Bombyx mori: one gene and its partners. The protein of the gene in region 2 purifies or fractionates together with the protein of the main gene of each other region. This does not show direct contact. Links are inferred from orthologs where the notes say so. Each region holds a gene or a part of one and is shown on either strand. Other genes may lie near its edges.

The links.
Region 1: the proteins of DLDH (region 2) and dihydrolipoyllysine-residue acetyltransferase component of pyruvate dehydrogenase complex, mitochondrial purify together in Homo sapiens (affinity purification with mass spectrometry; 4 studies listed by BioGRID and IntAct, counting the BioPlex papers as one, with this or other methods). This does not show direct contact. The link is inferred for Bombyx mori from reciprocal best matches to the Homo sapiens genes DLD and DLAT.
Region 3: the proteins of DLDH (region 2) and pyruvate dehydrogenase E1 component beta subunit purify together in Homo sapiens (affinity purification with mass spectrometry; 3 studies listed by BioGRID and IntAct, counting the BioPlex papers as one, with this or other methods). This does not show direct contact. The link is inferred for Bombyx mori from reciprocal best matches to the Homo sapiens genes DLD and PDHB.

The regions. Positions count from the first base shown.
Region 1 is NC_085109.1:9,378,063-9,389,817, forward strand, and holds the end of dihydrolipoyllysine-residue acetyltransferase component of pyruvate dehydrogenase complex, mitochondrial, read right to left. Parts: intron 11,374-11,755; coding exon 11,197-11,373; intron 9,786-11,196; coding exon 9,490-9,785; intron 8,291-9,489; coding exon 8,196-8,290; intron 7,677-8,195; coding exon 7,477-7,676; intron 6,454-7,476; coding exon 6,351-6,453; intron 5,440-6,350; coding exon 5,310-5,439; 3' UTR 4,441-5,309; downstream 1-4,440. Other genes in the region: uncharacterized protein LOC101744577, read right to left, coding at 235-644, 2,025-2,187.
Region 2 is NC_085128.1:7,022,498-7,033,419, reverse strand, and holds the end of DLDH (dihydrolipoamide dehydrogenase), read right to left. Parts: intron 10,705-10,922; exon of another isoform or gene 10,107-10,704; intron 9,946-10,106; coding exon 9,780-9,945; intron 9,736-9,779; exon of another isoform or gene 9,500-9,735; intron 9,077-9,499; coding exon 8,919-9,076; intron 7,981-8,918; coding exon 7,844-7,980; intron 7,188-7,843; coding exon 7,100-7,187; intron 6,634-7,099; coding exon 6,532-6,633; intron 6,463-6,531; coding exon 6,325-6,462; intron 5,926-6,324; coding exon 5,836-5,925; intron 4,015-5,835; coding exon 3,949-4,014; 3' UTR 3,660-3,948; downstream 1-3,659. Other genes in the region: uncharacterized protein LOC101742417, read left to right, coding at 1-651. UniProt on the Homo sapiens protein: Lipoamide dehydrogenase is a component of the glycine cleavage system as well as an E3 component of three alpha-ketoacid dehydrogenase complexes (pyruvate-, alpha-ketoglutarate-, and branched-chain amino acid-dehydrogenase complex).
Region 3 is NC_085112.1:15,801,498-15,812,703, reverse strand, and holds the end of pyruvate dehydrogenase E1 component beta subunit, read left to right. Parts: 5' UTR 1-40; coding exon 41-249; intron 250-1,133; exon of another isoform or gene 1,134-1,387; coding exon 1,388-1,541; intron 1,542-2,577; coding exon 2,578-2,764; intron 2,765-3,444; coding exon 3,445-3,567; intron 3,568-3,754; coding exon 3,755-3,859; intron 3,860-4,333; coding exon 4,334-4,453; intron 4,454-4,969; coding exon 4,970-5,150; intron 5,151-5,601; coding exon 5,602-5,626; 3' UTR 5,627-5,816; downstream 5,817-11,206. UniProt on the Homo sapiens protein: The pyruvate dehydrogenase complex catalyzes the overall conversion of pyruvate to acetyl-CoA and CO(2), and thereby links the glycolytic pathway to the tricarboxylic cycle.

The DNA of each region.
Region 1 (11,755 bases), on a different chromosome or scaffold from region 2:
TTCCCCCAGTTTAAGTGTCAACTCATTGCTTGTGTACACTAATTGTTATGACGTATACTTTATGTGTCGATAATACAACCTGTCATCGAGTAATAATTTAATGATACTAAATTACTTACAGGTTCAAACTGATTGTATCCACGTTCATTATTAAAACAGTTCCCAGTCTTTCGAATTAAATTTATTTCAAATTTTTAAAACATCTGTAAATATCTGGAGATACTATTAAAATCATTATTGTTCAGCTTTTATAGGTTTCTGCAACTGGGCTTTAACGGAATCCTCTTTCATCTTTGGAACGTGCTTACGAGACACGTCCCGTGTTTTCTCCAACATCTCATAAAAATGATTCACTGGCCCGAACCATCCACAGCCTAGCTCCGCTTTCCCAAGCCAGACATGTCCGTTTGGATCACTTAATACCATATTCCCAACTGGACAGTTGTCGTTAAAATCACAACGAACAACACTTCCATCCGGATAGTAATACTTTCCAGGACCCCAGAAACTCCAATCTTTCAATTGACCTTCGTACCTCGCGTCATCAGAAAAATGTATTATTACTTCATCGTTTGCTCCTAGACGATCGTTCTCCCAAACGCCCTTGTAGCTGTCCCCTTCAGCCGTAATGTACACTCCTGGTCCTTAAAAGGTAATTATGCAATCGATTGGATGTATTTGTAAAACAAAGAGACAAATGCGTAACAAGAACAATGCATTTAAGCAATTAGAACGTGACGATTGTTTGAATGGGTGTCTCTATACACGGCCCATTACACTGTGAAATTGAGAGGTACCTATTACCCAAAACAGTGATGTCATGACGTAAGATCTCAGGAAGGCTATGAACTTGCGATTATACGTAAAAAATATATACTTCCATGTATAATTATTTAAAACAAATGATTAAATTTCAAAAAGCATCGTCCGCTTAGTATGTCAGCGTAGGTGCATAAGTTTATATATTTGTCATTTAAAAACAAAGAAGAGTAATAACAGTTCATGGCTACTAGTGCTTTGAAAGGACAATGGATGCCGTCTAATTGAAATATGTGAAGTATAATTCTAATCGATCATTGTAATCTTTTAGCACTGAGCATTGTATTATGTTAATCGGCACGAATAGTAATTGGTTATACGTCAATCTAGTTACATATGTTCTTATAATGACATCATGTGATCTGTTAAGTTTCATTGTTGTTTGTCCATATTCGGAGTACTTAAACAGCAACAAGCCAATAAACAATCGGCATATACCTGCTACTTTAAAAATAGATGGAAACGATCTTTCATGGTTGCACGTATGATTACTTTATTATATTATATTACTTTATATTACTTCGTGGCAGAAACAAGCAGGTCGTCTTGCGAATCGACACGGCGAGGGAGTGATTTGAGCACGGAGACTCGAATCTCGCGATAGCATCTTCTAAGATCGCCTTCTAAGGCGATGCTCGACTTCTGCGAGTCCACCATCTCGCAGTAGGAGACGGCGGAACGAGAAAGGTTGAGCTCTTTCCTCTCCGCGCCAGAGGTTCAAGACAGAAGACAATACGAGGATACGTCCCTGCTCCTGTAGGCGGTGGCCACTCCCCGGTCAAGGCCACGGGGCAACCTGAGAGGGTTGAGGCAGCGCGGCGTGCTACCAGCACTCTAACGCACTCCGAAGGAGTAGCCTCATAAAAGCGTCCGGTTGGCGGTGTATCGCGTCTCGACCCAACAGGATGGTTTTGGCCCAGCGAAGTAGCCCAGGACACCAGCAGCGGCCCGCTGTACCGAGACGGCTGACGTTGCAGAGCCTTCGTTTCGCCTTGAAAGCTCCGTTAGCCGTTAGCAATATCACATTTTATCTTAGTAGTAGATAATTCCTGTCATCAAAAGAAGCTATTTTAAGGTAAGCCACGGTCGGTCGTATCACCATCGCATCGTATTATCGGTGAAAATTGCCATCAAATGGGATGCTCTCTCGGTTGGCTTCGTCAAAATAAGAATATTGTTCAGAATAAAACGAACGTATTCAATACCATGCATCTTAACACTTCGATCTTTCTTTTTCGCTTCAAAGTATCCGTCGTAAGTGTCACCAGTATCGTGTTTGAAAAGACCTTGATCTTGAACTACCGGCACATCCTTTACGGGTTTCTTGATCTCTGACTCCGATTCCCATTCAGTTGACATTTCGGTCATCTAAAAGAAACAGTATATGTATGTCAAAAAAATTACATAAGCTTTACAGTAATCTCTGCGATATATGTAGGTATATACCTATTGGTTTTTTTAATCTGAATTCAGGTGAACTTGACAGGTAGTACAACGTATTAATTGCGTGCTAATTCCTGCTGAGAAACATTGATAGATTTGAAGAGTAAACAAACGGTTTACACTATGGTGATGAGATTTTCGTCTCTAGTTGCGTGACGGTGCTCACGTATCTACGAACTGCCATAGACATTTAATACTGGACTGTTGTTTTTTTTCTTTACATATTTGCTAGTAGCCTAAGATGCTCTATTCTAGCTTCGCGCAGACGAGTAGGTCAGCTCACGGGCTCAACTTAGCTTGAGAATTCGATAATACTAGCCCTAGGAAAAGCAGTGCTTCGCAGAAGCTACCGCCGGATCGGAATCGCGACCCACTGAGAAGATCCGGCGAGAAACTCTGTAGGCTGTGTCTATGGGTTAGACTGTTATCCTCTACGTTCATCCGCAGCAAAAGTAGATTACTCGTGATGAACTAACCATTAGTGGCTTATTCAGGGGGACGCAAGTACTTTAAGATTGTTGTTACTAAACTTTATTTCCGTTCGAATCACAGAAAGTCTTCTTAAGCAATAATAAAATTAATTTATACTACTAATGTTATAAATTTTAAAGTTATTAAATAGTTAATAAATAGTTGAATTGACTTATACAAAATGTAAGAAAAAGATAATTTCTAGCCTAGTAAATAACGTGAGAAACGCCCGATATTAGCTTAGCTTATTATATATTATAGTTGTTCGCTGTTTGGTGATTTCACTTACTATCAGTGAACGTACTAAAACACAAAGGACACCAGCAACTCCTTATCTCGGAAAAAGGCAATGTGTTTCATTCGTTCTAAATTTTAAATTTAACCCGGATAAGATCGCGGGGCAATTTTAATATATTTTTAATTATGCATTGAGATAAGTACTATCCTTACGCGTCAGACTTACGATCAGTACCAGATTTTTTTTATTGTCCTTGTAGGCAGACAAGCATACGGCCCACATGATGGTAAGTGGTTACCGTCACCAATAGACTTCAGCAATGCTATGGGCAGAGCCAAGCCGCTGCCTACCGCTTAATACTCTCCGCAAGCCTCGTTTGAAGGACATGTCATAGCGCTCGGGAAACACCGTGGAGGGGAGCTCATTCCATAGCCGGATGGGACGTGCACAACATGTTCGACCACTAATCAATTGCGGAAATAAATATTATATGTTTTGTTTTATTACACTATGAAGTACGTACCAAACCTACCTTTGTGGCCTTTAACATACATGGAAAATGGATTCATGATAGACATGTGATTTCCCCGAAGCCTGTCAATCAATCAACGTGTTACTGTCTACATGATAAACGTGATGTCTTGAAACGGTGAATGCCATACCAATTAGATTCGACGTCGGACGCAAAACAAACATAAACATCTTAGGAACATACTCATTTGAAAAATTATATTTAGAATTACCTCTGTACTATTGAGTTAGTAGGTACTTAAATTGCAAATAAATTAGTGGTAATAAATTAGAGCCATTTCCGCCCCATCAACATCTGAAATGATAAAAAGCTACACACCGTGAGAAATTCTACTTTCTAGATTGTTATTACATAAATACCTTTTATTGTTATTCATTTGTGATTAAGCGTGACATACGTCAGACCTTGACATGAATTGCCAATTTGAAGCTTAATAGATCGTGTTTCATTTTTTCACGAATTTTTTACACGCAAGGGCACGACCTGAATGATCTAATAGTTTAAGAAATACATTCATTAGGGAATATTAATATTCCGCTTAACAGACAGAGTAAATTTTAGAATTGTATTGAATTGTCGTCTGTGTGAAAAAAGTTTTTGACTAGCCATTTTTTAATGTCATTGCCATATTATGTTTCCATAGGTATTACTAATTTTGTTTGTATATTTAATATGTATGTAGGTACATAATTATAGTTTTTCAAATTTTTGGTTTGTTTATATTTTTTACTCTGGAAATCAGAACACAACTAACACAAAAGATTGATACTGTTTTTATCCTTTTTAAACTTAACTCTAAACTTCGAGCTAATTTCAGCATTAGTCCAATTCCAATCAGGCGAATTTCATGACAGTAGAAATTGACAAAAACACCAACTGGTGTGAAAGTAAAACTTTATATTAATTTTAATGAAATCCAAAAAATAAAACAAACTCGTCTGTAAGTAAAATATATTTCACTAACGTTCATAAATAATCTAGCATCATCAAAACGTTACAAAGTAACATTACAAAATTTTTAACAAAACAAAATAATGCTTCGTTTCGTTTCAATGCATACATTAGTTTCCATACTGACGTCACAGCTGTAACGAATTATTATTACATATTTACAGTAAATTACAATAAATATGTAGATCTACATTCCGAACCCTACTTCTTTTTAAATTATTATAATAAAATGCGTAAAAATGTATATTTCGTCACGAGATTTTTTTTCGGTCGTTTCTCATAAATCACAATTATAGTTTTATTAAATACGCGCTTTCAGCAAAAGCTCACTCATTAAAAGCGTAACCACAGAATAAATATATAAATTAAATATTAAGAAAACCGCGACGATCAAACTGTTTATCAAAGCTTAAAGTTAAGCTTTTTCTTATTTCGATTAACTACTTTGGTCCTTTGAACGAGCAAAACTAAACTTTTTATTTGTGATCGAAATAAAATGCGAAAATTGTACTAATAATATTGTGATGAAAAAAAAATGTATGTTCTGTGTCCCCGTCTTACGGTGATACAGGACATCCAAAGGAGCCAAAAACACACGAGGCCATCTCTTGACAGGTTACAATAAATTTTACTTTTTTTCTCCCTTTTTTAATACGGATACCGGTAAAAGCGACTATAATAAAAAAATACAACTTGTTGTTAAAAATAAATTAATACCGTTTCAAAACACTTAACCTTAAAATGTCAGTTTTTTTTTTTTTTTTTTAATATCGGAATTAGAAATGTTCGTCTATGTGTATACGTTTTCGCGACATCCTTTCGTTAAGCTGAATTGAGGTAGGACCGTTTCTCTATTTATAAAATGATGTTGGCGGGATCTTCGAGGTTCTCCTTGAATACTTTCATCCATTGAGCGCCGATCGCTCCGTCCACCACCCTGTGGTCGGCCGACGCTGTGAACGTGACGAACTTGGCTGTTCGGAAGCTGGAATAAACAAAAAAATTATGCAATTCTCATGTTGTATTTGTTATTTTAGCTCTTCTACACACACTCATCGCTTTTAATTATTATTATCATAATCCTCTCGCAGGTCTGCTAGAAGAGATTTCTTAAAGAAATAAGCAGTGCCTTTGTACATAATTTTCCTATTACTCTGTACTATGTCTTCTTTTCTGTGTGTACATATTACATAAATAAATAAATAAAATAATAAAGCGGTAGTGAAACATCGTTCGCTTGCAAAACTAAATCCTATAGTTATATAATCCTATAGCTGATATCAGTTTTACTTTTGGTAGTGTCGCTTATCGAGTGTCATTTCCGTTGCAAAACACAACGGTAGAAGTGAAATTTAAAACGTATTCTATCTCTTTCGCTCTTATAGTGTGGATTGATAGATATTAAGTTAATATAAGTTGAATCGTAAATTCGGTGGAAAAAAATTTGGCTTTCTCGTCATGAATATCCTAATAAATGAACACGTATAAAAGACACTATAACTATACTGAGACCTTAGAACTCATATCTCAAGGTGGGAGGCGACATTTACGTTTTAGAGATGTCTATGGGCTCCCTTAATCACTTAACATTAGGTGGGCTGTGAGATCGTCAACCCATATACGCAATAAATAAATAAAACCACAGTAGTCATTATAGTCACAAACCGACACCTTTTGTCCGGAGAGAACGACTCTAGCCGACCTCTGATTATTAGTAGTTTTTAATGGCTGTACACACAAATTGGAACGCTAATGGAAGCTTACGGTGCTGCGGTACGGGGGCTCCAACACGACGTATTCAGACGCGGAAATTATAGTTGGGATTTGACCTGATGACAGGCACGCTGTTGAGTCTATTTGGCTGGTGGTCATGCTGATAGCTAACAAACAACATACCCGTTTGGTTCACTTTGGTCTGGAATGACCAGTTCTTGTACGCCGCCGCAAGCTATAATGAACGACTGGGGGGGATTGATGATGGCGTTGAACATCGTAATACCTGTCGACAACAAACACTTTCGTTAATTACGGAGGTCGCAGCCTAAGGTCTTAAAGAAAACCGAAAATGAATCTAAAGTTTATTAAAATTAAAAAGATTACAATGAAACTTAAACTTAATTAATGCTACTGGTCTGTCTTCCGACGATGTGAGTTCAGAAGTGCGGGCCCCGTGGCTGGCTTCGAAGCTCCATGAGGTAAAGGTGCTGAATCGGCGTCCCCGCACTCATGTGCGTCAATGTGCCATTTACGTCAATGCACCGTTTCTAGTGTGTTGCAATGCTGTCTCAGCGTTCACGACAGTCACGTACGCCAATGTATATATGTGGTAAAATTCCTATTGCATATCGGAATATTACATAAAGTTAGGGTATATAACACGTTATTGTCATTTGTTTTTGTCACCTCTGCCTGTTTTCATCGAATCAATAACACTTCAATAATATAATAATAATAATCGACTGAGTCGGATGGTTAGCGCCCTTAACTGTTGCTTAACTGTTGTTCGATTCCCATATCGGGCAAACATTGTGCGGTGAACAGGTAATGTTTGCTTTTTGTCTGAGTGTTTACTATCTATAATATATGTATATATACGAACGTATCTAAATCAATCACTGGTACCCATAACACAAGGAACCCTAAATTGGGGCCAGACGACCGTGTGTGACTTCTCTTCTTCTTTTTCTCCACCTTATCTCACTAGGTGGGGTCGGCACAGCTGATTTTTCTCTTCCATTCTCTTCGATCAGCCGTCATCTCAATACTCACTCCTCTCTCTCTCATATCGTCATTCACACACTCCATCCATGTCTTCTTCGGTCGACCTCTTCCCCCTCTACCTTGCACTAGCATTTCCATACATCTCCTAGTCAGTCACATGCATCTTCTCTCTACGCATCACATGACCATACCACGCTGAGCGTGTGTGAGTTATTCTCAATTATTTTTATTATTGTTAAAACTCCATCCAAAACGAGATGTCATATGTTTACACAGCTAAACGTAGATAAAGAATACATACCGTACATTCCTAGGTTCGATACCGTGACAGTACCGCCCTGGTACTCTTGAGGTTGAAGTTTACCGTCCTTGGCTTTCTGCGCCAATTGCTTCATGTTCTTCGAGAGGTCGATGATGCCCCGGGAGTCAGCGTTGTGCAGGATCGGCGTGATGAGGCCGGTCGGAGTCGCCACGGCCACACTCACGTCTACGTTGGAGAATCTGATGATAGACAAAAAAAAATTATTTCAAAGAAAAGTCGGTTTCAATATCATGATTAGATGATACATCATTTAACGTTAAAGCTTAGGTAGGTACGTCATTTAAATCCTTTAATAATTCGCTTCGTATGAAAAGACACATAGTGAAATGTGTGCATAGTTTTGATAATAAAGATTTAAAAGGTAAACAATAACTAAGAAACATAATATCTTGTACTATTTAAATCCTTTATTATTATTCTTATTTTTATTTTATTCTTGTATTATTATTTATTATTATTTTATTATTATTATTATTATCCTTTATTTCTAAAATTTATAAATTATTTGTAATAGAATGACGCCTTTATTGAAGACAGGGTCGTGCCTCAGCAATATACGTGAGACACTTCCAAAACTTCGAGATTGTGCGCTACAATGCTTTTAGTTTTTATGACTGGCAACACCATGAGAGCTGTAATACCTTTGAAAGCGTACTACACAAAACAGTTTTAATCAATTATTAATATCTCAAACTTACTGTCTTATGAAAGACTCCATCCAATGTGAGTTGACTGTAGGCACGCGCTTGCAGGCAGCCGCCACGGCTTTAATGATGAAGTCGTTCACTGAAACCTTAAAATTATCATTTTTAATGACATAGTCCGACGTGATGTTTGTACTATGCAGTGGTCCGGTTTATCGGGATCGGTAACCTTTTTTCCGGTTTAATTGATACCAGAGCACTGTTGTCGTTTAGTTTATTTTAAAACCGTAGTGTCGCTACTATCGCGGTTTGAAAATTAGCTATCTGTGCAATCTCTGACGCCATCTTGCCCATATTCAGCGGTAATCGTAATTGTCATAGTTTATTTTTTGCATATGACGTAGGTAAGAGTAAATTTCTGTTCGCTGTTTCATTTTAAATATTATAAATATATACATGAAATCTTTTTATTATTGAGCATTAGATTAAAAAGGTGGATTCCTTTAGAAATTGACACGTTGCTGTAACTACTTATATGATCCAAATCTTATTTTCGATATTTTGATGTTGATAATTACGACAGTAGCGACACCGCGTTGTATCGGCACAGCAATATATTGCAACTAAGGTCCAGACTCCAGACTTACTGTCGCCTCTGAAAATAGCTAATATCCTAAACTATGATTCATATCATACCTGACGTTTACATCATACCTGACGTCACAAGATAGCGGCGTCATTTACGTTAGCATTCTAACCTTATCAGTATAATAGGCTCTGGCATTTAACGCGTCCAAAGAGCCCACAATTTTTTATTGAATATCGTTAATCGGTTAGTAGTAGTTTACCTCAATAAATTTACCTTACCTCAAATAACTTTTAATTTTTTTATTGCTTAGATGGGTGGACGAGCTCACAGCCCACTTGGTGTTAAGTGGTTACTGGAGCCCATAGACATCTACAACGTAAATGCGCCACCCACCTTGAGATATAAGTTCTAAGGGTCTCAGTATAGTTACAACGGCTGCCCCACCCTTTAAACCGAAACGCATTACTGCTAACATGTTAGAGGAAGTCTGAAAGTGGCACCTGTGACAGAGAAGTTGAGAAAGTGCGCGTTTGGGATGGTATGGACATGTGATGAGACGAAATGAAAATGAGGTTGTTAAGAGAGTGTTAACTATGAATGTGGAAGGATATAGAGGTAGAGGTAGACCTAAGAAGAAATTGACGGATTGCATGAAAGATGATATGTGTAAGAGAGGAGTGGAGTATGGAAGGAGAAAACATGTTGCGCCGACCCCAGGTGACTGGGAGAAGGGCAGCAGGATGATGATGAGTAGCTTACCTTAACATCAGCCTTTTCACTGGCTAGCCTCTCGTTAACCAGCTTCCTCATGGCGAGGGTTTTCTCGACGTTGACGGTGACACTGAGCTGGTAGTGCGGGATGCTTTGTTTAGCGGCCGTCAGCCTCTTGGCGATGGTCTCCCTCATGCCGGACAGCGGCAGGTCCACAAAGGTGGCGCCGGGGGCTGGGGCGGGGGCTGGTGCGGAGGGGGCGGAGGCCGGAGCCGCTGGTCCTGCCGCTGCCGCTCCTGACAGGTCACCGCTCTTCAATGACCCGTATAGACCCGTACCTTGCCCTGAAGATGGTATATTTGGTTTGCAAATTAAAGTAAACTTTTTCCCAGTTTCTTTCATTTATTGTAACTTATTACGTGCCTTTGTCAATATAACGAAATACCTTTTCGTTTAATGACAATACACCATCCAGAGGGCTCGGTATAGAACTATTACGAAATTGAAAGGATAAAATACTTTAAAAAATCCATCACCATGAAAATAAATGCGTTGTATGTATGTACTTGAAAATTTTATCCGTTTATCTTTTTCTATAACAACAACGGGGTTAAATAGATATGGATACTGGTCCTTGTGCTGACCTAATATATAAGTATTACTTTTCCATATAATACATTATTTTATTGGTGTCGATTTCGAACGAACGGTTTCGAACGGTTAAAAGTTATTAAAGTATTTCATTCATTGCCGTTTTCGTCACAGGAGCGGTCGTCTTAGACCTTGTAGGGATGGCGTTAGAGTATTTATCCATCAAAAATTTTAATACTTATTTGTACGAGCAATTTTTCATAAATAAAGACTTTAAGGGATTTCATTAATCGTAAAAATTTGGGGAAATAGAACAACTTTGTAATAAACTGTATATTACAAAGTTCGGATTTTCTCATAGTTTCAAGCTAATGCATAACATTTTTCAGTTAAGTAAGAAGACTAAAATTATTAAGTGGCGGTAGGACCTCTTGTGAGTCCGCAAGGGTAGGTACCACCGTCCTGCTAATTTCTGCCGTGAAGCAGTAATGCGTTTCGGTTTGAAGGGCGGGGCATCCGTTGTAAGTATACTTGAGACCTTAGAACTTATATCTCAGGGTGGGTGGCGCACTTACGTCGTAGATGTCTATGGGCTCCGGTAACTTAACAATCAGGTGGGCTGTGAGCTCCTCCACCCATCTAAGCAATAAAAATAATAGTTTAAAAAACTAACAAAATAAGCTTTTATAGAAAATCCAACTAAAAACGGAAAAAAAAATTATTTTTGAATTAAAAATAGTGTATGAAAAAATGATTTTATTGTAAAAAGGCGTGGGGTGCATGGTATAAGTAGTTATAAATATTTTATGAACAGATATGAGTAGTAGGGTTATTTTGATAATATCCTATAACACTATTTTTAATTCAAATTTATTAAAATTTATTTTGCATTTTTTAGTTGGATTTTCTATAAAAGCGTATTTTGTTAGTTTTTTTAAACGAATATTTATTGTTCATTTTTCAGTTGAATTCAATTTTTTCAAAATTTTGTTTTTCCATGTTTTTATTTGATATTGTATTGTCATCGGTCCTTAATAAGTATACCAAATTTCGAGTTAATCCGTCGTTTTGAAGGGGGTCAAAATCATGTTCAAAGATTCCGTTACAAACATACATACATACGACTGAAGCTAATAAAAGCGTATGGAAAATAAAAAATCTCACCTCCTAATCTGATGTTTTTGATCTCAGCCAGTCTCCTAGCCATAGGGCTGGCGTATACCCTGCCCGACGAAGCAGGTTCGGCGGGGGCAGCCGCAGGGCTGGGACGTGGGGCGGCCGGAGCGGGGGAGGGGACGGGGGCTGCGGGTGCTGCTGCAACGGGGGCGGGTGCGGCAGCCGCTGTATGGTACAGAAAAACATGAGAAATTTGTATACTCGTATATAAATAAACTAACTAAATATTAAGAAATCGTCGTGGCCTAATGGATAAGACGCCCGGTGCATTCGTGTTGAGCGATGCACCGGTGTTCGAATCCCACAGGCGGGTACCAATTTTTCTATTAAAATACGTACGCAACAAATGTTCACCGATTGACTACCACGGTGAAGGAATAACATCGTGTAAATAAAAATCAAACCCGCAAAATTATAATTTGCGTAATTACTGGTGGTAGGACCATTTGTGAGTCCGCGCGGGTAGGTACCACCGCTCTGGCTATTTCTGCCGTGAAGCAGTAATGCGTTTCGGTTTGAAGGATGGGGCAGCCGTTGTAACTATAGT
Region 2 (10,922 bases):
TTAAATATGGCTGCCAAATTTGCTTATCATAATAACGCATACTCTGAGTGTTTGAGGTTAATGTTAGAGAATTTAAAACGCGGTCCCCAAAACGATTGCTTCTACGTGCAACACAGCACGCCCCTTGAGATTGAACACAGCGCGGACTGCGAGGCTGGACCGCCTACCCGCAAAGACGAGGTCAAAATAACTATTACAAATGTCATAGCAAAAAGGATAAAAGATGTGTCCTTGGCTATTCTGAACGATGTCGCCTATAACGTAATAGATCCATCAACCTTTAAATCATTACCGTGTTGCTGTGATGAATTAAAATATCTGTTGAAGAAAAAACTACCCAATGCAACGGTAAACATTTTCGAACAAGATCTCTCTGGTAAAGCAGCTGATGTGATTGATAAATTGATAAACATATTCCCCGTGGACGCAGCACTGTGGGAAATATGTTTCCGTTTGTCTAAAGATTTTTACATTAATAACAGTTTATCTATAACTGAACTGGAACGTGTTTTGCGTAAGTATATGGAATCGAATGCTACTACAATGATTACTGCGATACTGTATTCGAAAGATTGTTCAGAATACAGTGAGATTTTGTCACCAAAATTTTACTTGAATATGTGCAATCAGGTAATGGACACATGGGGCTGAATTAGCAAGGGATTTGAAAGATGACTCAGAGCAATTATTGGTGTTCGTTTCCAATGATATCCATCGAATTAATTTTTGCATCAATTTGCAGATCCCTTGATCTTATCGTAGATTTAATATTAATTATCGTAGATTTTTTAAACATTATTATAACCTACAAGTATTCGCAATTGCGATACTATTATTGTAATACTAAACAATGAGCGATTATTTTTAAAACTAATTAAATTATAAAATTGTTTTGTTTGATTTTTCGATTGTTCGAATTTGTTATTCCTACAGGATTATGTTTTAATGTTATTTTATTACTTTTATTTCTTTATTATGATAAATTTATGAATAAAATCAGGTTATTATTGTGTAATGTACGTGGACCGCCAAGAGAAACGAGACTGTCTACGATTTGCTACCAGAAGGTTCTTGGTTACTTTAGTCATATTGCTCGGCGGCCACCAGACAACCTTGAAAGATTGATTGTGGTGGGCAAGGTAGAAGGGAAAAAACCCGCCGGCCGGCCACCATACCGTTGGTCGGATCAGATATCTGCGCTCACTAGACTCTCTGTTGCGAACGCCCTGAGAGAAGCCGAAAACCGAAGCAAATGGAAGCTGAGGGTACAAAGAGCCACGAAGGGCTTTCAAGGACATGACCTTCAGCAATGAAATATTCGACTAAGAAGAAGAAGAGAATATACAGGAAAGTTAAGCTAAGTCGAGCTTGAAAAACCTTGTATTTTTTCTGTAATACCTATAACTTACCTGGTATGTCACACTATTCATGCTCACCCAGTTCAATGTTTGTGTAATCTAAGAGGTTCTGTATCCTGTTTCGATTTTATAGTTGCTATTCATTTTTTCTACGCTTAAATTCTTTGAAATAGCAATTTAATCAATAGATTAAAAAGCAATAGCTTTGGTAACAGTAATCGCTCATTATCCTGGATCCTATAATGGAAATTTTACTTAATAACCATACACCTCTAATGAGATTAAATCCCCTTAGACTATATTTATAGGAAATAATACATTTTCTACTCTTTTTAGTATTTGTGCTCTCTTATAGACTGATTTTGTTTGTGTTAAAATATGTAGTAGTATATGTATGTGTATATAAGTTTCTAAGTTTTTATGTGTTATCATTGGTGATTTTGGCATGATTTTATACAAGTATATATATTTTTTCAATGTTTGTTATGTCCGTTTTGTTTATGTAAAGATTGTTGTCAATTCTATAAGATACGCAGCAGTTTGCACAGTACTTTATGTAGTAGATTTAGCCGGACTGAATATATGAAGGCGTACTGAACTTCCAAACGTGCTTAGTCGTGGGAGAACTTTTTTTGGCGTCATTCGGTAATTCATTGCCATCGTATTTACTATAGTAGAATTATTTTGTCCGTGCAGTTTGGGTCATAAAAAGTCGGAGCAGTGAAGCAAGTATTTCGCTCTTTCTTCCACTCATGAGCCTTATGGACGGGCATAGTGATGCGCATTATTGTTGTCGATAAGCGTTATCGATAGTGTATTTAGTTTTGTCATTTTGTGGGTTAGTGATAAAAATGAAAGAAAAAATCACTAATCGAACATTTACATCACATATCGCCGCAGAAAGTTAACGAGCTTTGTAACTTTTCGGGATCTATTCTTATTTCAGTTAAAATTTTTAACACATTGTTGATAACAACACGTGCAATATTATTTTGAATGAATTCTGCTGTTTTGATACAAAACAAAGGAGTAGCCATTGTGTCAGTAAAGAAATTCAGAGAATGAATGCATAAAAACACATTTCTCTTCGACATAATGTAATTTAATTTGCAGGTAAGTACAAATGACTCATAACATATCAATGTCTCACCACCCTTCGTATACCACCCTGCCGCCGTGTACCTGCCTTCGATGACTCATTAGTTTTTATCAATAATTGCGTTGCGCCCGCGCAACATGCTCGCCGCCCTAGCCGGGCTATGTTTTAAGACCCAAACTGCACGGACAAAATTACTATAATTACATTCATTTCAATTAATACAATAACCCTGCTGAAGTCGAAGCCGACTAAATTAGCCCGCGTGTACTGTATTAGTCTTATGAAAATGATACAACGGACCGCCTTAGTTAAATTCATGAGAGATTCACACCAAAATTGTAAATGTCATTCGTTTCTTCAGCGGAGGCTTGCCGTGATCTAGTAATTTAATGTTGCAACCAATCATACTTCTCTATTCCAATTACGAAGTCTAATGATACAGATGTTATTATTATGTTATTGTGTGTGTGAATTAATTGTATCTTGATTTAAATTGATTGTGTATTTTTTAAATGATGTTTACGACCATGAACAAAAAATGTTTATTATTTTAAATTATGCGAAAAGTGAAGAGTTACGTTCTAAGAAGTGTCAAAAGGACCTTCGTAATTAAAATAGAGTTAGTCACCGCTTTATCCACCGCTACCTTCTTACTTCACGAGTCATTTCTTCCGACTGTTACTCTTAACTTTAGTTGTTAGATAAAGTTCCAGAACGACCTACTTCTAATTCTGTTTTATAGCTTTTCGTAATGCTATCGACTAAGCACAGATTGTATTGTTCGGTAAATTGACTGTAGATTTAATATATCCATTATAAAGTAGATGTTTTATATCCATGACATTTTACAATGATTATCCTTTACTATATTAATGTATTTCAACTAGATTAATTTAAAAATGAAATTGTTGATTTTCTTTCTACAACACGAATTGTTTACTCGTTAGTTTGTCTAGTCAAGATTTCTATTTTATACGTTTGTTAACACAATTAAGTTTTGAACTTTGTTTGTTTGTTTTTATGAATTTCCCATTTAAATTTTTTGTTATAATGTTTTTTAGTTAAGAAATAAAAATAAAACTTTCTTACATGAATGTATTCTGGTATTTACAAAACAAGATAAATACACAAATGTAGTTTTATTTTTAGTGACAGTAAGGATCCTTTAGGTATGCACTTGCACAAAAAAAAAAACTAAACGGTACTTTAACAAAAATAAGTATTATTGAAATTATTTATTAGTTATTATACAAATAAATATCACATACTAGCAAACTGGCGTCACAATTAATGATTTCATAAATAACAGTGTGTTCCTTCAACGCTTTCAAATACTCTTGTAATAATTTACTTGAGCTTTATATTTAAAAACGTACGTGGCACGATTCCTTTTAAATCAGATTCATTCATACAAGATTCCTTAAAGCGGACACAATATAGACTAAAAACCCAGTTGTTCATTGGGTTCATTAATTATTAGCACCTCTACATTTAGAAGTTGATTGGTTTTCCGGAGTACGCTGCTAGATTTGCTTCACGTAGCGCTTCGGCACATGTCTGAAATCAAATTTACATTAATTATATTCAAATATATATATGGTCAGTGATGGGCGTAACTAGTTACTTTTGTAATCTAATTAGTAATTAAACTACAAAATAATTTAATTACAATGTAATCTGATTATATAGTAATCAATTACATTGTAATTAGAATTACTTTGGATGTGAAAGTAATTGAATACAATGTATTTAATTGCAATATAACTAAATTACAATCTAACCTAATTACATAGTAATCAATTACATCGTAAATCGTAATTACTTTGAATATAACACTTGTAATAAAAACACATATTTATATATATGATACATCGATTTTTAGATAGGTAGGTTTTATGTACTTCAATAAAAATAAATAGGTAAGGCTCACTTCATAGTGAACTAGAAAGGAAGGTGTGCGGAGTGGGGGACGACTTTGCTTATTACTTTTCGACTTTTTTTTGTTTTCGTACGCTACTATGATTAATTGTCCGAAAGCCAACCAACCGTCTGTCAGTCGAAATGTTTGAAAAAAGAGTCATATTAAAAGTAAGGTCAAGTGCGGTAGGCAGCGGCTTGGCTCTGCCCCTGGCATTGCTGAAGTCCATGGGCGACGGTAAACACTCACCATCAGGTGGGCCGTATGCTCGTCTGCCTACAAGGGCAATAAAAAAAAAAAAAAGTAATTTAAATTATAAATCAGCAAAATAATGTTGTTTAATTTAATCTGCCAATGATTAATTTAAAAAAAAGAACGTTAAATGATAAAAGATTATAAAAAAAGTATATAAAATGTGTTTCATTTTTGCGTTTGTCAAAAAAGTTATTAGTAGGACATTTTTTGTTAGGTTTCCTAACATAACATAACAGAATAATTATGTGATCAATTATCAGTAATTATAAGTAATTTGTTTCAAATACATAAGTAATCTGTTACAGTTAATGTAATTAGATTAACTTATAATGGAATTACTTTATAACTGATTACAATAAGTACTCACTGTAATCAGTTACTTAAGTAACCTGTTACAAAGTATCTCAATTACCAATTACAATGTAACTGTAATTTGTAATTATTAATCTGATTACTTTTTGCCCATCACTGTATATGGTATATTATGTATATATGTACTTTTTTTTCTGACTGAGGGATTACTGGTTGTCCAGTTTCGCCATAATAGGTGGGCGAGCAAAGGCTCAGCCATGAGGGGTGAGTTTTCCTAACAACTGCCCGAGCGCCTCCATAGGAGACCTAACAACTCAAGAGCAACTGCTTCGCGCATTAATCTACTACCGGGTCGGAATCGCGACCGGCTGAGAAGATCCGGCGAGAAACTCAGTGGGTTAGGTTAGGTTACAGGTCAAACTTTGCAGAGTTCGACGAGTAGGGTTCGCGGGTCCCTAAGCCTGCTCCTAGCTTTAGAGCTGAAGGCGTCTAATGCAAGATTTTTATATGTACATATGTATAGTTGTATGCATGATAAGATACTGGTGGTAGGACCTCTTGTGAGTCCGCGCGGCTAGGTACCAACGCCCTGCCTATTGCTGCCGTGAAGCAGTAATAATGCGTTTCGGTCTGAAGGGTTAGGGCATCCGTTGTAACTATACTGAGATCTTAGAACTTATATCTCAAGGATCCAGTAACCACTTAACACCAGGTGGGCTGTGAACTCGTCCAGCCATCTAAGCAATAAAAAAAAAATGCAAATCATTACTATAGGTATTATTACTATCAAGATTTAATGACTTTAAGGTACAAAGCGGATTTTCCGAGTTACATGTTCACGAAACTGAACAAAATTGACTGTTAAGTTTCGTTTTGTGTATATTTATACTTACAGGATGCGCGTGACAGACTCTCGCAACGTCTTCAGCAGCGGCACCATACTCCTGCGCGAGTACAGCCTCGTTGATCAACTCACCACCGCCCTGATGAATTTATCAAATATTTATATACCAGTAATATTGCTGATAATGATCTTAAAAATCCGCTAAAAAAGCGATTCATGTTCAAAATATAAAGTCTTTTAACGTAATCGAACGATAGATGGCGTACTAGTAGCGCGCCATCAAACAAAAGACACGGGCTTGTATCACATACAAAATAAACACAAAAAATTACATTTTTATTTTAGATGGTTATTTCTGACAAATTTTTTAATCTTTACAATACAATTTATTATAATATTTTACGATATAATATTTATTGTTAAGAATAATAAACAGTGCCATCTATCGAAAGATTGAGACTGTTAACAGTTTTAATAACATTTAATTTTGTCAAGTGCTCATTTGCCAGCATAAACATTAACATTTTTTTATACTCACAGGGCCAATAATGTGAGTCCCAAGGATTACGTCTGTAGTCTTATCGGAAAGCACTTTGACGAAACCTTCAGTTTCCCCATTCGTTTTCGCTCTGGAGTTCGCCAGGAACGGGAATTTACCCACTTTGTAAGCTCTGCCCTTTAACAATATTAATTAGTTGTGAATGACAGCTTAGCATTTTCAAAACAAATAAGTTCTGAGACTTACTTCTTTCTTTAAATCTTCTTCAGTCTTTCCGACCCAGCCAACTTCGGGTGAAGTGTAAATAACCGACGGAATTGCATCGTAGTTGAAGTGGACGGGCATACCCTGAAAATTTGTGTACAACTTTTTTCAGTTTCACCTTCAACGATTGAAATATCACTTAGTTCTATTTTGATGGTTTTAATGTGATTAAAGCAGTTAAAGCCTTGTTACAAAAATAGTCAGGTCTGCTATAACAGCGATCTCTATTAAAACTTAGATCTAATCCTTTGCTATCCTTCTTTCCTTGTTGTCTATAAATATATATCTATCCATTTTATTGAAAATTTCTAATCTACATCACAACAATTAACTATAATAACTGAGAACAAATCATGTACGGTCATTGTTTTATTTTGTAGTTGATTGATTGACAAGCAGTTTTATACAAAATATTTGGATTGTTTTCATTCTATTCTATTCTATTTTAAAATTCTATTCAATTATATTCACACATAACAAAGCCATTCAACGTATTGTCAATGGTCAATATTTAACAAAAATTAGTTTGATTAACAAAATTTTGTTTTACCTTAATACCTTCCACGCAGACGATACCTTCGTCCTCCGCTTTGTGAGCCAACATTGGTCCGTGAATTACATCACCAATAGCGTAAATTCTGGAAATAATATAAAATGAAATCCTTTTTATTAGCAAGAGTCCGTGATGATCACAATATCGCGTACCGCGAATGCTATACTTAATACTTCCATACTTCCTTATCATTTGTCTGTTGTACCAGTATCCGCTCCTTATTTACCTATTTAACTCTCCTCCCAGACACATGTGTACAACACTGGCAATATAGAATATTATGAGCCACAAGAAATACTGTTGGCATAAGTACTTATGTTTCCTTCATTTAAATGCTATTCCCCTTTATCCAAATGCGATTGAGATTTCGACTATTAGGTCGTATGAACGTCAAAGTCGTAGCGTTACTGACTGTTACGCAGATAGCAACTCGAATGAAATACACTGGATTTTTTTTATTACTTTGATGTGTGGACGAGTTCACGGCCCACCTGGTGTTAAGTGGTTACCGGAGCCCAAAGAAATCGACAATGCAAATGCGCCACCCACCTTGAGATATAAGTTCCAAGGTCTCAGTATAGTTAAAACAGCTGCCCCACCCTTCGAACCGAAATGCATTACTGCTTCACGGTAGAAATAGGTGGGGTAGTGGTACCTGCCCGTGCGGACTCACACGAGGTCCTACCACCAGTAAAAATACCACCTGGTCCTAACACCAGTATGTTAATTTGGATGACCCACCCGGGCACAGTAGTTTGGAATTTGTTGTTGACAGGAATCCGGCCGCGGTCGTCCAAAGCGATGCCCACTTTGTCGAGCCCGAGACCTTTAGTGTAAGGGCGACGACCAATTGAAATTAGCACCACATCGCAATCCAACTGAAATATATTTTTAAGATAAATATCAGACCATATAATATATTAACAATAAACAGGTAGCTAAAGGTAAAAGGAAATAAATATGTTATTATAAATAAACTAATATTCATTTGGTATGTGACATATAAGTATTAATTTATTACGTTATTATTTTTATTGCCTCAAAACTCGTATGAGCATATGGACCACCTGATTGAACACAATCGCTCATAGACACAGCAATGCCAGGGACACTAATAACCCCCAGCCGACTTCTGGGAACTTTTTTCAAAAACTCGTTTGAAAAAGAAAATGGCAAAGATATCAGGAATCACAGAATTTCATCTCGGAGCAAAAGGGTGTGTGGGAAATATGATCTCTGATAACATACTGTGACTGAATGCAGTGGTTTGAAAGAACGGTCTGAATAATTATTAAATATTATTCTAAAGCAGAGTTCATCTATACTACTTGTATCCGCTGCGTCCATTGAGTGTGGTTCCAAATATCTTTTTTGCCACGTATTAGCTGGTTCTAAAATTAAACCCCTTCCACTGTGTTTTCCCCAGTTCTGACATGTTCTTTTTCAAGCCAGGCTTGTGGAGAGTGGTTGTGCTATTGCTGAAGTCTATTAATAGCGGTAACCACTCACCTTCAGGTGGGCAGTAAGTAAACTCGTCTGCCTTCAAAAGCAACAAAAAAATGTATTGCTGAAAAATATGTACCAGTGGAGGGTGGTAAGACTGTAAAATAAATATGACTAGATTGTTTCAAACAAATTCTTTAAACAGTTCCTATGAGGCACAAATACACGATAAATCGTTGGAGCCCTCAAATGCCTTAGTCCTATTATCAATATTATTCCACTCTGTTTTTCTTTATGAAGCTACAGTTCATCAAAGGTTTATTATTCTATCTCTTGCTTTAGCCACTTTGAAACAAAATGTCTTAAACCTTACCACTTCCTTATTGCCACCTTTAGCAGCTTCAACATCAACTTTGATAGTACTACCTTCTTTCTTAACCCCTAAAACTTTAGTTCCCAGTTTGAATTTCATTCCTTGTTTGCTTAAGATTTTCTGAAGAGTCTTGGCTACCTCTCCATCAATACCAACACCTAAGACATAGGAAAATAGGCATTAACATAATTCATATGTCAATTGCATAATAAGAAGTGTAGTAAACGTCAATATGGCAAGAATCATTTGTGTATTTAATGATAATAGGGTGAATTATAACCCATCTCACTGTCTATCTTAGTAATTTACATGTATTGGTTTGAAGGGCGTGATAGCCTTTAGATATACTTTATTATAGAGATTTACACATTGCAAGGTTGGGAGGCACATGTTGTGATGTTTGTGTTCAGGACACCACTTAACAACAGGTTCACCTGTCTTATCAATAAAAAATAAATACATATTTAATTAAATCAAACGAAAGCACAGTGGACGACATTATTCTTTTGTGAGTATTGAAGGTCTACACTATTTGACAGTATGATGATGCATAATCAATCATACAAACTATTATCTGTTTACTTGCAAGCTCTTTATTTTTAGATACTACATTTTTTATTTGCAATATCTTGTGACTTTATCTAATCAGACAATATTAATACACTGAGGTTTATGTGATTGTCTGAGTCTTTTAAATTCAGTTCTGATATTAAATTAGCTTAGCAGATAGATCTAGATAGTGACTGATACAGATTTTTTTTAAATTTCATTAATAAAGCGAATTAAATTAATAGTTAAATATGGGAATTAATAACAGGTACATATTTTATTATTTGAAATTTGACAAAATTATTATTTTACCTCCAATGCTAGTTAGGAATTCAATTGCAGTAACATCAGCACCAAGTCTTTGATAAACAGAACCAAGCTCCAAACCGATAACTCCAGCTCCAATCACCAACATTTTTTTCGGTACTGACTCCAAGGAAAGTGCTCCAGTCGATGTGATTATTTGTTTCTCATCAAACTGTATAGATGTGATTCTAGATTTTTAAAATTGTTTTAAAACTACTATGATGAAATATCATTATGTAATAGCTTCAAAATATATTTTTATTGTTCCAAATAAAATATCAGTAGTGCAAGACGAGGACTACGGGCATGACCTTTTTTTTTTTTTCCCACAAGAGAAAATCGCCGGATCCCCACCCGCGCGGCAGGTGGGGTATGTGGGAGTTGAACCTCACTAAAAACTCCTGCCGCTCACGACCGGCGCCCTACCTCGGACCGGGCCGGAGCCCAGTCGGGGCTATTGAAACGGCGGGACAGGGTTGACGCAGAGCACATTACATCCATCCCACCGTCTCACGGACGCCGGACCGGTGGCCGCCAGCGACAAGACCACCGGTTCCCCCGTTCAGCGGGCCGAGAGACGGGCATGACCTGGAGTGATGTCAAGGAGCAAGCGCAAAATAGGGTCAAGTGGATACAACTTATGAAGGCCCTATGCACCAGCTTGGTATCTTAGGACTATTACAACAAAAACAACAGTGCAGAGATATTACAACAAAAGCCGCAGCATCGCAATACAAAGCTATTTTTTAAATTAACTAATGCATACTACAATGCCCTATATTATTTTTAATTGCTATTCTGAGGCAGTCATTCCTGAAGAAAGTAGAAGAACAAAGTTTATTCATAAACTATTTATATAAGCCTGTTGTGAATTCTGGAAAATGTTTTATCTAATTATTCTATTATAATCTATTCTATTCTATTTATAATCACAATATGCTACAAGCAGTTTCACTCTTTTTTATTTAATCTTATATTTTGTAATCAATTAGAACACATCATGGCTAATTGAATTGACAAAAGCAGAATTCCTCTAATATGAGCAGATAAGAATATCAAAAGGGACTATTTTCGCAATGTAAGTAACTTTTTACCACTACTAAAAAGGCAAAAACCTATCTATTCTTGTATGATTAGTGTGAGGGCAAG
Region 3 (11,206 bases), on a different chromosome or scaffold from region 2:
GGTGTTGCAAAAATTATTTAACAGTGACATTATATTTAAAATGGCATTAAAATCATCGCCGGCTGTTCTCGGGATGCTCACTCGATTATCCCGTCGCAGTTTTGCCACATCGAAAGCTCTGGCTTCTAAGCCGGTGACTGTAAGAGATGCTTTAAATCAAGCGATCGACGAGGAGATGGAGAGAGACGAGAAAGTCTTCGTTTTGGGAGAGGAAGTCGCTCAATACGATGGTGCCTACAAAGTTACAAGGTAAAACATTCTAACCTATCGTATGTACATAACAGTCGACTATTATATTTACTAGTTATTGCTGAAATTTCAACTTGATTTGCTATTTTAATCTTCTCTGTTATCTCAATTAAGCTCACAATAGATTGTATGTAATCCAAATTCGTTTCATCATTACATAACCCATTCATTTGTTGACAGATTGTCAAGTTCAATGTTATCGTTAGCAAATCGATAGTGCAGTCGATGTACTGTCGATACGACTGCAGTAAACAAACAAACACCCGAATGCAATTTGGCTAACCAATGAAATATAAATCATATAAAATGGATCGAAATTCATTAATACATAATATTTTCAACCTATTTATAGTTTAAAACAATTTCTGTAATTTATACTAGATAATATCTATCGAATATGTTGGAACAAAATTCTGAAAATCTGAAAAATAAAAATCACATCCAAAAGTAAAAAATATATTTAAGTGTGTGCAGACATTTAACTATCATCATATAAAAGAACGCTGTTTCATATAAGATTTTAATGCCATTAATCCTGAAAATTTAGAATGATATCTTCCTTCATACATGAAGATTATGAAAACATTAAATTCTTTAAACAGACAAAATAAAACTTAAATATAAAAGTGTTAATGCTCAGCTATAATGCCTTCTCTTAATATGAAACAATAGAAACATAGAATACTTAAAGTTTACAACCTTTATATTTTAAGCTCTGAATTATAAACTAAGCCTATCAGTATTTAGCGTACCGGTCTCGTCACAGTTAAAGGCCAGATAAGTAACATTAATTAATCTGGGCATGTAACTTTTATTCCAAAAGTATTATTGCATGTGACTTCGAACTATGATCAGATGGGCTTATATCTAAAGTGTACATTGTATTATTCAGTGAACACAGACATCCTACTACTACATCCTCTATTTCTACTACTAACATAAATACATGAATATAAATTCCCTACTGTTGCACTAAGTTTGCATCTAGTTGGTGACTCATAGGTGAGTTTTAGCTTCCCCAGCATGGTTCTAAATAATGTCAATGCACACTACATGAAGCACTAATCAATCATTAAATAATAAATTTCATGTGATGACAAAAGATGAACAAGATATGAAAACCAACAAATAATTTTAGGGGTCTATGGAAGAAATATGGTGATAAAAGAGTTATCGACACACCCATCACAGAGGCAGGATTCGCCGGTATAGCTGTTGGAGCTGCTTTTGCAGGGCTCAAGCCTATTTGTGAATTCATGACCTTTAACTTCTCTATGCAAGCTATTGATCATGTGAGTGTCCTGATAAAATTGATAAGTTGTATTTAATGAACAAAATCCTCGTAATGTCCATGACACAATTGGTGGTGTTATGTCAAATGTTGACAATGACCAAAAAATCACAAATATAAATAAACAAATATGTAACAAAAAATATAGAAAAGGGATATCCCAATGAGTTTCTCTCTGGAAATGCTCAATGTGTGGTTGTTTTCAGTGAAACACTTGCTATGGATTTTATTACCAAGCTCTTTGAGGTTAAGTCCATGACCTCAGCCACCTCAGTCACAGTGGAGGCTGAATAGGCCCTCGAGGCTACTGGCAGATAGGTAGACCAAAAAAATACAAACATAAAACTGCATTATGACAACAATTCCGAAAATTTAAAAGATTAAAACAATGATACGTAATGAATCCCATAAATACATGTTTAAATATAAATCCTTTTGTGTGTCATGTGTTGATAAGAATGTACTAAAAAAAATATGGCCGATAGTCATCCATAATTATTAACTTTCTAAATAACTTGAAAAGATTTGTCTGTTGATATTGTCAATTTTAAAAAAGTAAATAAAAGCGCCACAAGGTTACATCTTACAGATTAAAACTTGATTATCCATTTTCTAATGTAATTAAAATTTCTACCTATAATCACGACAAGTCTTACTGGTGGTAGGACCTCTTGTGAGTCCGCGCGGGTGGGTACCACCACTCTGCCTATTTCTGCCGTGAAGCAGTAATGCGTTTCGGTTTGAAGGGTGGGGCAGCCGTTGTAACTATACTTGAGACCTTAGAACTTATTCTCAAGGTGGATGGCGCATTTACGTTGTGGATGTCTATGGGCTCCAGTAACCACTTAACACCAGGTGGGCTGTGAGCTCGTCCACCCATCTAAGCAATAAAAAATAAATAAATAAAAGTCTATAATTACTTTATGATGAATCCATAAAATGTGATGGTTTCCACAACGATTTAAGCCTAAGCGGGTCATGATCCACATATACGAACCGAAAAATCCAACTACATTAGTAAAAAAATTCACTTCCAGATAATAAACTCAGCCGCCAAGACCTTCTATATGTCAGCTGGCACAGTACCAGTGCCAATAGTATTCCGAGGACCTAATGGAGCTGCCTCCGGTGTTGCCGCACAACATTCCCAGTGCTTTGGTGCCTGGTACAGCCACTGTCCAGGCCTTAAAGTTCTAATGCCTTATTCAGCAGAGGATGCTAAAGGTAAGCAGTTCACCTAGTCATTTTATGCATAGCCAATGAATCTAAGGGAAATATATAAATTGACAACATCAAGCTGTGCACATTTGATTATATATATTTGTATATATTCAAAGAATGTCGTTTTTAATACTATCATCATTCATCATTGTGAACAGTACCTGAATAAAAATTAAAATATATGAATAGTGTATCTAATAGTAATAAAGGTATATAACATTTTATAAGTAGAACTTTGCTAATCTCTATCGCCATCTCCAGAAATAGTAATCATTCCAAAAATAGCTTCGAAGTTCTTTTGGATAATATTGAATTAATATTGAAACCATGTATAATGCACACAACCAGGATGTCACCACTTTAAGATGATAATTTTTTTTGTAGTGAATATGGAACAGGGGGGACTTGATTTATATGTGTGAATGTGTGTTTGAAGACCACCAATTGATATTCAGTATATTGTTTCATTTTATACTTTGAAAATCCATATGAGATGATGACTATAATTTGTTGCTGTTATTGACCCTGTTCCCTTGTAGTTTTGAAATAAAACTATATATTGACTTTTGTTGATTGATGGTTCCTCTAACAAATATCATAAATAGTCAAAATATAATATTTTTTATATTGGTATTTTGATTTTGCCCTCCTGGTATACTCATTACTTAGAATGTTACTTTTAGGTCTCCTGAAAGCTGCCATCAGGGATCCCGACCCAGTTGTTATGTTGGAAGATGAAATTATGTATGGTATACCATTCCCAATGTCAGATGAAGCCCAGTCCAAAGACTTTGTACTTCCTATTGGTGAGTAGACCCACTTATCTGTTGTTGCCGAATAGCTTTCAAAAAGAAACACCAGTGGCCTAACTACTCTAATTGTTGTTTATTAATAAATAAATAAATAAATTATTGTCGTCCAGATTACTTCTACACATCATAAGGCGTAACGACACTAAAATTGACTAACAGTAAAAATTGAACTATTTTTCAGGCAAAGCTAAGGTAGAAAGGGAGGGTCGGCATATCACGCTAGTGTGCGCTGGACGAGGCACCGACACCGCGCTCAAGGCCGCTGAACAACTGGCTGGAAGCAAGGGTACGTCTGAAGATACATCATTCATCAACTCAAAACTGACACGCGTCGGATATGACAGCTGTCAATTGCAAATTCAACTGTTTATTTTTTCATAAAAAACTGAAGACCAAAAACACAAAAATAAAAATTCAGAATTCGGAAAACATCTTACTTCATATTAAAATTAGGGTGCTGCTGCAAAATTTCACAACTTGTTGTACCTATTTAAATGTATTTTAAATTTATTTTTCATAAAAACGGATTTAATTTCATTGTATAATTCACCATAATATGTTGTTGTATAACTCCAGTATACTAATCTATTGTAGTTTTGTAATCAATGACAAATAATTTTGCAGCAGCTTTGTTTAAAAGAACAGATTCTGAATTGGGATGAACCATGTTCAGTAAGTAATTATTAAAGTCCTCTGAAACTCCTTTGTCCATAATTTAAACTCCAGCATGTTGCACTAAATATATTTGTAAATTTTTCAGGTATAGAATGTGAAGTAGTAAATCTAAGAACAATAAGGCCAATGGATTTCGACACGATCGCTCGGTCCATTGCCAAAACACATCATCTCATTACTGTAGAACAAGGATGGCCGCAATCTGGTAAGGATTTATGGACAATAACATTAAAAGGCTCAGTACAAACGTTGGGTGTTTGAGCCAGATAATAAATGGAAAAACGTATTCTGCTACTGCTGCACTTTAACAAAGCATCTATTCAATGTGCACACTACTAGACATGTCCTTTGTATGACGGCCCCGGTGGCGCACCACTCGGCACCTGACGTGCGGGGCCCACTTGTGTTCTGCTGTGAAGGGCTCAACAACCAATACAATGCAATTGAGAAGTTGACTACATATCTCGAAGGGGCGACATTCATTTGGTAATGTCTATTAGCTCCAGTGATGACATAATATGATATTAGAGAATATCGCCCCTATTAAAACACGCACTATAACTGCAATAGAAATCAGCTGATGTGTGGCATTCAAGGCTTCGTTTGGCATTTGCGTAAGCTTTAGATTATAAAATATTATTAACTTGAAAGCTACAAAATACTTGACCACGATATGTGGCAGGATAACGGGATTAGTGTTGAATAACGTGTATTGTCCCAGGAATCGGCGCAGAGATCTGCGCCCGCGTCATGGAGTCGCCGTCGTTCTTCGAGCTAGATGCGCCGGTGTGGCGAGTGTGCGGCGCCGACGTGCCCATGCCCTACGCCAGGACGCTCGAGGCGCACGCGGTGCCCGGACCCGCCGACGTGGTGGACGCCGTCACCAACGTGCTCGGCAACAAGTCAGTATAGCTCTCCTCTCAACTACTGTGTCGTGCTGGGGAACAAGTCAGTGTTGCTCCATGCTGGGGAGCAAGTTAGTGCTGCTTCATGCTGGGGAGCAAGTTAGTGTTGCTCCATGCTAGGAAGCAAGCTAATGTTGCTCCATGCTGGGAAGCAAGCTAATGTTGCTTCATGCTGGGAAACAAGTTAGTATTGCTCCACGCTGGGGAGCAAGTTAGTGCTACTCCATGCTGGGAAGCAAGTTAGTGTTGCTCCATGCTGGGAAGCAAGCTAATGTTGCTTAATGCTGGGAAACAAGTTAGTGTTGCTCCATGCTGGGAAGCTTGGGTGAGAGGTTACGGCGCAAATGTGTAGTGATGTCTGTTGCTATTGTTAGGAAGCAAGAGTGTTGTGCACTGTGGTGTTTACTGAATAATGTAGATAAAACCAAAAAATGCTTCGTTGTTTCAGAATCAGTGCAGTGCAAGCCCAGTAGAACAGGGAATCTCCACAAGCAAATATAAATTAATAATGTTCGGATAATCTGTACATATTTTATTTATTTCTACATGGTGCATTGAATGAAAAGCAAAGAAGTCTTAACTTGCTATTGTGATTTAACTATACATTTATATTGAGATTAGAATTTAATAATTTTATTAAAGATACTATTTGTTGAACAAAAAGATGTATGATTTGAAAAAAGTGGGTCGTTATATTAATTATTATTGTATTGATGATAAAGTGAGCGTGCATTCCTGTTGTAAGTTGATACATGAATCGAATGCTATTGGTATTTATTTTATTTGGTATTGCGATTATATATTAATTCAAGCTACGAGGCGGCTTTCATGCGTCACGCTATGGACTGCAATGATCGCTTGTGTGTAGTATTACAGATTCGTTAGCAAACCAAAATGGCGAAAAACGCCATCTGTTTATCGTCATATGTACTAATCGTTTGAAAAGTCAATCCATAGATGGCGTGAGTTCGACGAGCGAACTGGCCCACGGACACAACCCACAGAGTTTCTCGCCGGCTTTTAGGCTTTGAACGAATAGATAGGGCAAAAAAGGCGTTATAGCTCTTTGTAATAAAATTGAGAGTGAATCTTATTTTCTTAAATTCCACTATCAAATGAGCACTTGACACCAAGAACCTGCGCTAATACTAATAGTAAAGAAAGTTTCACAATACATTTTTTGTAGTGTTAAAAATAGTTTCATTCTAAACCAGGGGCTCCCAAACTGATTTTGACTACTGCTCACTAAGAGAATAAATTATTTTTTAGCACCCCCATTTTTTCACCTATGTACTTAAACTTTGGGAAAGGCTGTTCTAAACAAACACCTGAATCGAACAAAACACGCAGGTCCGTAGCGTCACGCCAACAGCGCTGCGCCCTTGTTACGTGACAATTTATCTAAGGACAATTTGACCGCCACAATACAAAGATGGCTTCACCAATAAGTGCACCCAAAGCCGCCTCCAAAACACATAAAAAACCTACCGATCTATGTTCCAGGTATAATTGTTTTATATGCGTATGTCTTCAGCACCTATGCGTAAGTTTTAATATAGATGACAATTCAAGCTTCGTGGGTAAATTCAAAATATTCCAATACTATTTTTAATAGGACCACTAAACATACCTACATAAAAAACAAATACTACAATCCGGGGTCAGCTTCATTCATAAAACATCCAAGGTAATGTGATTCTCTAATGGCCGACGCACGAGCGAGGTGGGAAAGGAAGTCAAAAATATCCCATCAGCAAACCTACACAGCCTAGCATTGTAGTCAGGTCACAGTAATAAATTCCGCTTTAATGAAATTCGCAATAAATAATGTGGAAGTCAATCGTATTTCATTAAAAAAAATTGTATAGGTACGCCTAGCCTGCGGGAACCAATTATATTTTTTATTTTATTCCGAAATTGTACATAATCATTGTTTTTATTTAATTTTGTTATTCTATAGGACATGTTATTGTTAATAAATTAATATGGCTGCAAAATGTGAAGTATATTAAAAAAAATCTTGACTATCCAACGAAAATGCACAAAAATACGAATTATCACGAAACTTATCACGAATTTTGCTACACTTACAGTGGATAGTCAGTACCTACGGTCACAATCAGAGTTGCAACAGAGGGTCCACGATGTTCCTGTGAACACATTGTGGGGATGGTGACAGTTTGATTGATGTTCACCGTTCATGATCCAACTACAACACAACTAGAAATATCATCCCACGTGTATTTCGTTTTTTTTTTCTTTTACTTACCTACTCACCTAATTGTAAATGTTTTCTATGTTTACTTTAACATTTTATTCCTTTATAAATTTATTTTTCATATACACATATACTTGTCATATCGAAATGCGTAAGGCTATTTGGTATAAGCGACATTTTTGCAACTACAGAGCTAAAGTGTGGAAAAAATAAAAAAAATAAAAAAAAATCTTCAGCTATTTGAATAGAGTAAATTTAATTGAAGTTCAATTGAAAACATCGAACTGTTGATAATAATACCAAATAAAACGAACCTTCAATTACAAAGATAAATGTCGCGTATTTAGCGAAAGTTCACTTAAAATAAATAGCCTTCACCCCTGGATATATATTTTAAAACCGCATGTAGGTCTTCAGATACAAGCTGCGCTAAGTGCAAGGACCGCTAAAAAGCTGTATTAATATCACGAGTTGTGGGAAATAAATATATATAATAAACTATATACAGTAAAGCTTATTGCGAGCTCGGAGGGTTAGATGACGGCGAATTAAGGAGCAGGTCTGCCATCATACAATACAACTGAGGCTGGTGTTTGTTCTCGCGATGGTTACCGGTATTCATACTGCATTGTCTATTATGTAAATAATTCCGAGACGAGATCCCAAAAATTGCCGCTAAATTCTTCCACGTTTCAATTTTTTTTTTAAATTCATCTAAAATCCTGCAATGGCAGACATCTCAATCCAGCCGTTGACACGTAGAGACGTCAATCTTAGAACGTATAATTTCTGCCTACCCTCATAAAATAGGTGATCGATCACTATACTGTCACGCGCCGAAATTCTTTTCATACTTAATAATAAAAGTGGATTCTCGTCAGCGGAGATATAATACGAGTTTTTTTTTTCTACAGTCGAGAATTTTTCGTTCGTAATACTTTAGCTGAAAGATATTTCATCATCATCGGTGTTTCCCGAGCGCTATGACATGTCCTTCTCCAAACGAGGCTTGTGGAGAGTATTAAGTGGTAGGCAGCGGCTTGGCTCTGCCCCTGGCATTGCTGAAGTCCATGGGCGACGGTAACCACTCACCATCAGGTGGGCTGTATGCTCCTCAGCCTACAAGGGCAATAAAAAAATAACAATTCTTGTAACGAGCACGATTTCGTAGGAAACCATCAGTCAGTGAGGCGATGAATCTACATAAAATAAAACTCCAGGCTGACTCCGGCGTATCTAGTATGAAGTACAATACCCAGAGCCAGATTTAGAGGTCTGGAGGCCTCGGGCAACAGCGGAGCGGAGGCCAGGGCCCAAATTATTTTCCAAACAAAATGAACATTTTTTTTCAGTCGAGTTTTCCAATAAAGAATTTATTGTGAAACCACGTAGATTCTCTTAGTATTTAACAAATACTTAACACAAATACACAAAACTTAGTATTTAATAAATATAATTGGAGACAAGAATTATCCGAAAATAAATTTCGGATAACTAATGCTTACTAGTGTTTACTTGTCGGAATTTGAAAGGTTTTTTTTCTAGTCTCCATTGTTTTTTTTTTTTTATTTTTTATTGCCCTTGTAGGCAGACGAGCATACGGCCCACCTGATGGTGAGTGGTTACCGTCGCCCATGGACTTCAGCAATGCCAGGGGCAGAGCCAAGCCGCTGCCTACCGCTTAATACTCTCCACAAGCCTCGTTTGAAGAAGGACATGTCATAGCGCTCGGGAAACACCGTGGAGGGGAGCTCATTCCATAGCCGGATGGTACGTGGCAAAAAAGACCTCTGGAAACGCACTGTGGATGACCGCAGTGGCTCCAGGTAGTATGGATGAACTCTACTCCGGTAGCGGGCGGTGCGATGGTAAAAACGAGATGCCGGTATCATCTCGAACAATTCCTCAGAGCACTCCCCATGGAACATACGGTACAAAATACAGAGGGAACCGAAGTCCCTCCGCAGACCCAGAGGTTCCAAATTGTGGGACTCTCCGTTTGCTCTCAGTTGCTCTTCCCTAAATCTGGCGCTGATAGTACCGTATTGTTTCTTACTTACTTTTAATGCATTGGATAAACACAAGTGCACATATTTTTAACATGTAAAAAAAACCTCATCAGCGGACTTTAATCTTAAATAATATTCACTGACATACTCTCTACATACCACCTACCCAAAATTTTATTGCTAAGTATAAATCAAGCCTCAAAATACCCGTCTCAACTAACCCTGTAAGTAATAGTTGTTAAACCTATTACTGGATTATTTGATAAATTTTATGAACTACATTAGAACCATAGCGCAAATATTAAGACGACTTTAAACTACAAAACTAATAGAATCAGTATCACTAGTAAACATTCTCATTTGCATCGCTTAAAAAATTATTGCAAATAAGTATGTAATTGCTAAAATTAATAAACTTATTATCAATAGATGAAACAGTCTAGCACGTTTGTAACTGTATCTTTACTCGCCTTCATCTCCATTTTTAAGTTACTTATTTAGCCATCGCCGTTTTAGCGGTGTATTTTTCCCCTACCTACCTGTTCGCTGGCTAACGGCGTATTTCAGCTCCTTGCCGACGGGAGAGTGTATAATAATATGTATCGTGGTATCACGGTGACTAAAAATATGATTATTTTAAACTTAAGCGATGAAATTCGATAAAGCCTCAAAAAAAATTTATCCTCTAATGCCAAAGCCTATTTCCAAATAAAATAATCTAAAAATATTGATAATTTATATCGCCCTTGACCGATTCGTGTATCAGGTTCCTTGTCCTAATAGAGTAATTAAGAAAGTTAAATAAATTTATTTTTCAGTCCAAATAGAAAAACTGAAGACAATTTTTTTTTATTGCTTCGTTGGGTGGACGACCTCACAGCCCATCTGGTGATAAGTGGTTACTGGAGCACATAGACATCCACAACGTAAATGCGCCACCCACCTTGAGATATAAGTTCTAAGGTATCAAGTATAGTTACAACGGCTGCCCCGCCCTTCAAACCGAAACGCACTACTGTTTCACGGCAGAAATAGGCAGGGTGGTGGTACCTACCCACGCGGACTCACAAGAGGTCCTTCCTACCACCAGTAAAAAATCCAGTACAAATCGGAAACCGTAAGTTATTTAATGTAAGATAAATTTAAAAGTAAATGATGTTAAAGAATTCTTGTAATAGTAAAAGTATTTAGGTTACATATACGAGACAACTAAACTGTTGTACAAAACTCCTGTCAGTTCTCGTCGTCGGTACAAGAGACTTGTCGAAACTTTTGTTCCCAGCGAAACTTGTTGATGGATCGTCCTACGAATTTGGCGCGACTTCGAAACGAATTTATTAAAGGAATATATTGAAATCGACCAGGTATATTTTTTAAAGTATATTTAACAGTTATTTTTTGTACCAAAGACCGGTTATTTCCGCCGACCTGGAATAATGTAACCTCTCTACCTTCAGAGACGAGGTTGAAGCCTTGCTTTGGTCAACTGTATTAACCTTGATGACTTTCAGAACGAATTAGTGCTTCCACCAATAATGAGAAGACTGTGATATCGACCAGCTCAAAATACGAGCTGATTAAGTGAATAATGGCCGAATACGAAGAAGCCGGAGTCCCACACCCGTGTCTTCTAATACCCGACAATGATTACAAGGGCCGTACTTAGCCTTGTCGGTAAGACGTATCGATTGATACAACGGTTCCGAATCAACATTGAATTTCCCCAGACTGGGATTTTCTTCTATGGTAAATAAATCGTCTTTATAATGTTAATCAGGTCAATAATATTCTATATAAGACGACAAATAGAAGATCATCCATCAACT